2 linked regions of the Ovis aries genome follow. The protein of the gene in region 1 purifies or fractionates together with the protein of each later gene. This does not show direct contact. Links are inferred from orthologs where the notes say so. Each region holds a gene or a part of one and is shown on either strand. Other genes may lie near its edges. The genes, in order: SNX33 and DNM2.

The links.
Region 2: the proteins of SNX33 (region 1) and DNM2 purify together in Homo sapiens (co-immunoprecipitation; 3 studies listed by BioGRID and IntAct, with this or other methods). This does not show direct contact. The link is inferred for Ovis aries from reciprocal best matches to the Homo sapiens genes SNX33 and DNM2.

Annotation. Positions count from the first base shown.
Region 1 is NC_056071.1:30,895,468-30,899,860, reverse strand, and holds the start of SNX33 (sorting nexin-33), read left to right. Parts: upstream 1-1,572; 5' UTR 1,573-2,745; coding exon 2,746-4,207; intron 4,208-4,393. UniProt on the Homo sapiens protein: Plays a role in the reorganization of the cytoskeleton, endocytosis and cellular vesicle trafficking via its interactions with membranes, WASL, DNM1 and DNM2. Acts both during interphase and at the end of mitotic cell divisions.
Region 2 is NC_056058.1:13,095,310-13,099,114, forward strand, and holds part of DNM2 (dynamin-2), read left to right. Parts: intron 1-2,800; coding exon 2,801-2,961; intron 2,962-3,805. UniProt on the Homo sapiens protein: Catalyzes the hydrolysis of GTP and utilizes this energy to mediate vesicle scission at plasma membrane during endocytosis and filament remodeling at many actin structures during organization of the actin cytoskeleton.

The sequences.
Region 1 (4,393 bases):
AGTTGGACATGACTGAAGTGACTTAGCAGAGTTAGGTAGATGGCAAGTGCCAATTTGTAGTTGACATTCCTCCCCCAGGAAGCGTTCCTTGATCCTTGCTCAACCCAGGTTGGGATAGGTGTCCTTCCAGTCACATTTCATGGCACATCGATTTATTTTCCTGATCCATCTGAATTCCGGTAGGTGAGGACAATGCCTTATTCCTCTTTGTAGCCCAGGAGGCCTGGTACAGAATACTCAGTTAATGTTTCCTTGAGTACATGATCAAATGAATGAGACAAAGACAATGAATGAACAGAGGACAAGAGTTGTTAGGTCGCTCAGGCGTGTCCAGCTCTTTGGTACACCATGAACTGCAGAATGCCAGGCTTCCCTGTCCTTCACTATCTCCTGGAGTTTGCTCAGACTCATGTTCATTGAGTCGGTGATGTCATCAAACCGTCTCATTCTCCTCCTGCCCTCAGTCTTTCCCAGCATCAGGGTCTCTTTCAATGTGCCAGCTATTCTTATAAGACAAGAGGGTAGATTGTAAACTCTCCAAGGCAGGCACCCCCACTACCTTCTGGTACCCTGATCCCCAGTGCCCAGCACAATGTCTGGCAGAATCAATGACCAGGGTCAAGAACCCTTTACCTCTTCCCAGAGCCCCAGCCCGACCATTCCTCTCGTCCCCGTGGTGTTAGCAAAGATGAGACACCGGTCTCCGCCAGCCGCCGCTCAAAGCACGGCGGAACCTGGTCGTGCCTACTCTTGTTACCCGTCACTGCAGATGTAGTCTTGTCTTTCTCCCCGGAGGGAGTCGCCCAGGACAGGGGTTCTCCTGGCCCTGTCCGTCTAGGGTACTAGGACCCGCCGCGGCCTGTATCCCAGCCAGCTCAAGCTTTTTCCATGAGGGCACCGCTGGCTCTGGGGCCCCCTCCAGAAAACAATCCCCAGGCGGCGCCACGGCGGCGTCCGGCCGGAGCGGTGGCGGGGCGGAGAAGCGAGAGCGGGGGTCTGCGGGTTTCCGCGCACCCTTCCTCCACCTCCCGGGTCCCGGCTCTGGCGTTCTCCTTGTAGCCCCGCACGTGGCAAACTTTCAGAGTTTTCCTCACTTGCGTCACGGAAAAGGCAAGAGGGTGACGGAGCCCGGGAGGCGAGGCGGCGGCTGGAGAGCTCCCCCGCGCGGCGCTTGAGCCCCTCGGGGCGTGAGGAGTCTCCCTGAGAGCGCGGACAGGCTGCGGGGGCGCGGCTGCCCTAGGGTCTGGCCCCGGAGGCTGCCTCTTCCGCGACCGATCGTCTTGCTCTCGCATCCCGATCTCCCCGCGAGTGAGTAAAGGCGCCCGCCACAAGAGAAAAGAGAGGAGTAGGCGGGAGCCAGGCTGCTGCGTCCCAGGCCAGCGGGAGGGCGGAGCCGGGCCGTCCCCGGCCAGCCAGGACGCAAGGAAGTGCCGCGGAGTTTGCCCAATTCCCCAGCCTGCTTTTCCTTCTCCCTCCCTCTCCCCACCCCTCAACCCCTCCTCCCCGTCCCCCCGCCGGCTATTCCCTCCTTCCTCGGGACGCCACCTCCCGGAATCGCCTTTTTTTTCTGTTGTTTTGGATCTGGCTTCTCGCTGGCGGCGCCGAGGAGCCGCGAACGCTAGAGAAGAACGCGGGCTCGGGGCTCAGGCCGCCGCCCACCGGCGGGATCCCGCAGGGCAGGACGGCCGGACAGACGGCCGGACAGACGGCCGGCCGCACCATCAGCTCTCCAAGCTCACTCTCCAAACTCCTGTTGAGTGTGTGCGTGCACGCGAGAGGGGGAGGAGGGGGTCTACGTCCAGCGCTCCGGGGCCGGTTACCAAGGGGATTACCTTTGGACGAGGGTCCTTGGACTCAGATCAGGGTCATCTTCAGGCTCAGAAACTGCTGAGGAATTAGGCAAACAAAAGAGGCCACTCAGCTAGTGGCCAGGAGTCGCCCGAGCGCCTCGTCGCGTCCCCTCCTTTCCCCCGGGTTGGGGCTGGCCGCTTGGGGGCGGGGAGAGGGCATCCGAGCCGGCTGAGGGCTGGGGGCCGGGCCGGGCCGCCGGGTCGCAGAGTTGGCCGGCCTGTTGTGTAAGCCTCAGTCCTTGTTTTCCCGGCCTGGCTTGTTGTGAAGCCGGACACATCCACCCCTGGATTCGATTCAGGAGGCTGCCGCTTTTCTCCTTGCCCCTCTTGGATTTTCTGGATTTTTGAAAACCCAGTGGCCCAGGAAGAGGAGGAGGAAGGAGGAAGGAGATCTGCAGAGGAATGTGAGAGCCTCCCGAGGCCCAGGCTGGAGGAGCCAGAAGCAGCTGGGAGCCAGAGCTACCGGAGTTTCTGGGACGGTGGTTTCCAAGTGATTCTTTTCTATTTTAGAACATTGTTCCAGCGGAGAGTGTCGAATTCTTGCCTGCTCAGGGCTGGTTTTCTCCCAGTCACTTGACTTTTCTTCTAGGAGTGGGAGGAGGAGAGACTCTCTCCTGCAGGGGCTGCGGAAGGAAGGGAGGAAGACCAGGGACATGAGCCCTCTCGACTCACAGGCATGTGCGGGCAGACCTGGTAGGGCCGATTCTGGGCCATGGACATTGCTTTGAAGAGAGAAGGCTGGATACCTTCTGTGGGTGCTCAGACCCCGCAGTAAGGGCTGAGAGACCGAGGGCTGTGGCCAGCCTTGAGTTGCTCGTGCATCCTCGGACACCATAACAAGTGTCCTCAGTTCTGGGCAGGACTCTCCTCAGCATTCTCTACCACTGGCCCAGACATGGCACTCAAAGGGCGAGCCCTCTATGACTTCCGCAGCGAGAACAAGGAGGAGATCAGCATCTGGCAGGACGAGGACTTGGTCATCTTCAGTGAGACCTCGCTGGATGGCTGGCTGCAGGGCCAGAACAGCCGTGGGGAGACCGGGCTCTTCCCTGCCTCTTACGTGGAGATCCTCCGTTCTGACACCGGCTCCAACCATGCCGACTACTCCAGCAGCCCCGCAGGCTCTCTGGGCACCCAGGTTAGCTTGTATGACAGCTCCAACACTTCCAGGAGTGGTGGCGGCAGTGGCTTTCTGTCAAACCAGGGTAGTTTCGAGGAGGACGATGACGATGACTGGGATGACTGGGATGATGGATGTACGGTGGTGGAGGAGCCACGGGCCGGTGGGCTGGGCACCAACGGGCATCCTCCGCTCAACCTCTCCTACCCTGGTGCCTACCCCAGCCAACACATGGCCTTCCGGCCCAAGCCACCCCTGGAGCGGCAGGACAGCCTGGCATCTGCCAAGCGAGGCAGCGTGGTGGGGCGCAACCTCAACCGCTTCTCGTGCTTCGTGCGCTCTGGCGTGGAGGCCTTCATCCTGGGTGACGTGCCCATGATGGCCAAGATCGCTGAGACATACTCCATTGAGATGGGCCCTCACGGCCCCCAGTGGAAGGCCAACCCCCATCCATTTTCGTGCTCCGTGGAGGACCCCACCAAACAGACCAAATTCAAGGGCATCAAAAGCTACATCTCCTACAAGCTCACACCCACCCACGCCAGCTCACCTGTCTACCGGCGCTACAAACACTTCGACTGGCTCTACAACCGCCTGCTGCACAAATTCACTGTCATCTCGGTGCCCCATCTCCCGGAGAAGCAGGCCACAGGTCGCTTTGAGGAGGACTTTATCGAGAAGCGGAAGCGGCGGCTCATCCTCTGGATGGACCACATGACCAGCCACCCTGTGCTGTCCCAGTACGAGGGTTTCCAGCATTTCCTCAGCTGCCTGGATGACAAGCAGTGGAAGATGGGCAAGCGCCGGGCCGAGAAGGACGAGATGGTGGGTGCCAGCTTCCTGCTCACCTTCCAGATCCCCACAGAGCACCAGGACCTGCAGGATGTGGAGGACCGCGTAGACACCTTCAAAGCCTTCAGCAAGAAGATGGACGACAGTGTCCTGCAGCTCAGCACGGTGGCCTCGGAGCTGGTGCGCAAGCATGTGGGGGGCTTCCGCAAGGAATTCCAGAAGCTGGGCAATGCCTTCCAGGCCATCAGCCATGCCTTCCAGATGGACCCCCCCTTCAGCTCTGAGGCCCTCAACAGCGCCATCTCTCACACGGGCCGAACCTATGAAATGGTTGGTGAAATGTTCGCCGAGCAGCCCAAGAATGACCTCTTCCGGATGCTCGACACACTGTCTCTCTACCAAGGCTTGCTCTCCAACTTCCCTGACATCATCCACCTGCAGAAAGGTAAGAGCCAGTGTGGTCTGGAGACCCTGATGGCGTCTGCGCTCTGCAGAGCACAGGGGCTATGAGGATGCCCAGATGGAGCAGAGCGGCGCAGCTAGTCTTTCAGTCGCTGTCTCATCTGCTCATTCAGCAAGGGTGTTGAGCACCTAGCAGACGACAGGCACTATTCTAGGTACAGGGATATTT
Region 2 (3,805 bases), on another chromosome or scaffold:
CTTAGCTGCTCCATGGCCTTTGGGGTCTTCCTGGACCAGGGGGTCGAGCCCGAGTCACCTGCATTGGCAGGCGGATTCTTGACCGCTGCACCGCCACGGAAGCCCTAGCTTTTTCTTCTGATGTGTGTGCATTCTTTTTTCATTTGTATGGTGAACAACTGCTCATTTGGGGAACAAAAAGAAGTGTCCAGGAGAAGAAAACTGAAATCACCCATCACTCAGCTTCTCCCCATAGTTACTACTCTGGCTCTCCTTCCTAAGAGTTCCCAAGGATTTGTAATTTTTCTTTTTTTAGACTTTTTTTTCTGGACAGGGACCATTTTTTAAGGCTTTACTGAATTTGTTACAATATTTCTTCTTCCTCTTCTTTTTTTTTCTGTTCTGGAATTTTGGTCGGGAGGCATGTGGAATTTTAGCTCCCTGACCAGGGATCAAACCTACACCCCCTGTGTTGGAAGGCAGAATCTTAACCACTGGACGGTGGGGAAGTCCCTGTACCTTTTAATGTTCAGTACTTGTTGTCAAGCATTTTCTCACGTGGAGAGAAAAATGTGAGGCGTTCCCCTAGACCAGCCTTGTTGCTCATCACACACAGCTAATCGTCACTATCCCAAATATCCTCTCCTGTTGTTCTTCCCTTCCTGGGGGATTATGAAGCAAATCCAGGCACCCTGTCATTTGACACATAAACACCTACATTTCTGTTCCAACGACTCCCCCTCCAGCCACTTGATCTGTGCACCTCATCGGGATCTGGCCAATTATAGTTCTTGCAAACCAGTAATTAGATCTAGACAGAGGCTGATCAGTCTCGTGTTTAGTGGAGTTTCAGATTTTTTTTTAAAATTTTATTTATTTATTCTGTTTTACTTATTTTGGGCTATTCTGGGTCTTCCTTGCTGCACAGGCTTTTCTCTAGTTGAGGCAAGCGGGCCTACTCTCCAGCTGGGGTGCTCGGCCTTGTCATTGCTTCTCAGTAGCTTCTCTTGTTACAGAGCACAGGCTGTAGGCGCGCAGGCTTCGGTAGTCATGGCCTAGTGGCCCCGAGGCATGTAGAATCCTCCCCGACCGGGGATCGAACCTGTGTCCCCTGCTTTGCAAGGTGGATTTTTAACCACTAGACCACCAGGGAAGTCCCTGGATCCTTCTTTTTTAGGTTAACAAAAGGAACCACAGAACAAGCCAGACACCATCTCTGCCCCTTGCTCTTTGCCCTTCACAGTAATCTGGGTTTGCACCTTGCCGCTACTGGTCCTCCATGTGACCATGTGGGCAAGGGACCCCTCCTTGGCCTGCCTCGCTTCCCTCATCTGTAAGGTGGACTTGATGATAGCTCCAAAGAGGACGAGAAACCGTCAGGTCTGCACAAGACTTGGCAGGATAGTTGGCTGAGGATAGCTTGGAGGATAGCTGTGCCCCTCCTCTCCAAAGAAACATCAGTCCTCACTAAGAGAAGGGGGTACAGATATGTGTGTATCACTTCTGACCTTTCACCACCTAGGCCCAGTTCACCTTTCCAATTTTCATTATATGGACAACAATACACACATCTGCTGACTGAGCGCCTCCCAGGTGTTGGCCACCAGGCTCAGTTTCCTGCTTCCCACAACACCCATTCGTGCACCTGTGCAGTGGGGTAGCTTGGGTCCACACTTGGGGTTCCTGGCTGCTTGAATCCCCCTTCCGTCGTCCTCTTCCAACTCCTTTATGTCCAGATATTGTAGATCCTTTTTTCAAAGTAGTTTTCTTATGCTAATGGTTTTTTGTGTTAAAAAAAATTGCCGAATGGTACCTTAAACTGTCGTTTCGGAAGCTGGCTCCCAACCCCTCCTGTATAAGCCCCGCTTCTCTTACAATTAACTGTTGCTTATGTTCTCTTCAGACAGTTTTAAGACAAATACAGTAATTTTGAAAAAACACCCATTCAAGTACTTGCAGTGTTATGTGGAAATCTGTGAATCCCCAGCGAGTTCATTTTGGTGGCCACCAGACGTCGTTTCTTTGCCAACCATTGTTGTTCAGTCACTAAGTTGTGTCCGGCTCTCTGTGACCCCATGGACTGTAGCATACCAGGCTCCCCTGTTCTCCACTGTTTCCCAGAGCTTGCTCAGATCACGTCCATCGAGTCGGTGATGCCATCCAGCCATCTCATCCTCTGTCACCCCGTTCTCCTGCCCTCAGTCTTTCCCAGCATCAGGGTCTTTTCCAGTGAGTCGGCTCCTCACATCAGGTGGCCAGAGTATTGGAGCTTGAGCTTCAGCTTCAGCATTAGTCCTTCAAATGGATATTCAGAGTTGATTTCCTTTAGGATGGACTGTTTGATCTCCTTGTGGATCTTAGTTCCCTGACCAGGAGTCGAACCTGTGCCCTCTACATCGGAAGCTCAGGGTCTTAACTGCTGGACTGTCAGGAAGGTCCCCAGATGTAATAGCTTTAGAACAGGTATTAATATCTGGCACGATTAGTTTTTCCCATTGGCCTTCTTTTTCACATACTGTTTTCTGTCTTTAAAGCTCAGATTGTGGATTTCATCTCCTCCCGAGCTGTTCTTTCTCCAGTCCCTCTCACCAGGCTGAATGTAATCTCTCCTTCCTCCGAACACTTACGTTGCCCTGTGTTTGGATTCTCAGTGTTGCCTCTGAGTAACTCATGAGGCTTGTCACCTCCTCTGGGAGTGCCTTGGAGGGCAGGATCCATGTCTACACCTGCATGTTGCCCAGCCCCATGGCTGGCCTGTAGTGGGCGTCTGGGTTCCTAGGCTTGCCTGGCACTGCCGTGACCTGACCCTCTCTCTCCACAGGCTACATTGGAGTGGTCAACCGCAGCCAGAAGGATATTGAGGGCAAGAAGGACATCCGCACAGCACTGGCGGCTGAGAGGAAGTTTTTCCTTTCCCACCCAGCCTACCGGCACATAGCTGACCGCATGGGCACCCCGCACCTGCAGAAGACTCTGAATCAGGTACGGTGAGGACTTGGTGCAGTTGCTCAGGCTGTGCACTGCAAAACAGCTGCATTCCACAGCGGTGCTGCCGCTAGGCTAGAGCAGCACTCATTCTAGCAAAGTTGAGCTCAGTGAACGTTTGCATCAGTGCCTGGAGAAGAGTCAGTGCTGGTATTATTACTTCCATCACTACTATTGTTACCATTATTTTTTAAGTTTTTTATTGAAGTATAGTTGATTTACAATGTGTTGATTTCTTCTGTACAGCAAAGCAACTCAGTTACACATACATATATTCGTTTTTTTTCTTAGTAGCTTATTGACTGATTTGCGGCCGCACTGGGTCCCTGTCGCTGTGTGGACTTTGTCTTGCGGTGCTGAGCAGAGGTCTGCTGTCTGGTTGCAGTGCACGGGCTTCTCATTGCAGTGGGCGCTCTTGTTGCGGACCACGGGCTCTAGGGCACTGAGCCCGTAGTTGTGGCTCACAGGCTCGGTGGTTCTGCGACATGTGGTATCTTCCCAGACTGGGCATTGAACCTCTGTCTCCTGCATTGGCAGGTGGATTCAAAAGGATACAGTGAAGCGCCATGTGCCTCCTGCCTCTCACCCACCGCTGTAAACACTGCCTGAGTTTCTCTGTCCATGAATGCAGAAAGGACTTCTGAGAAGCACATTTCCCCCTTTATCCATAGTCATGGATGCCCCCCATTTTTCTTTTTTTAAACTCAACAGTATCTCCTGGAGCTCTGTCCCTATAGAAGCCTTCTTCACTCTTTTTCATGGCCCTGTAGAAGCCCCTGGACACACGGGCCCTCATCGGTTTCAGTTCAGTTCAGTCGCTCAGTCGTGTCCGACTCTTTGT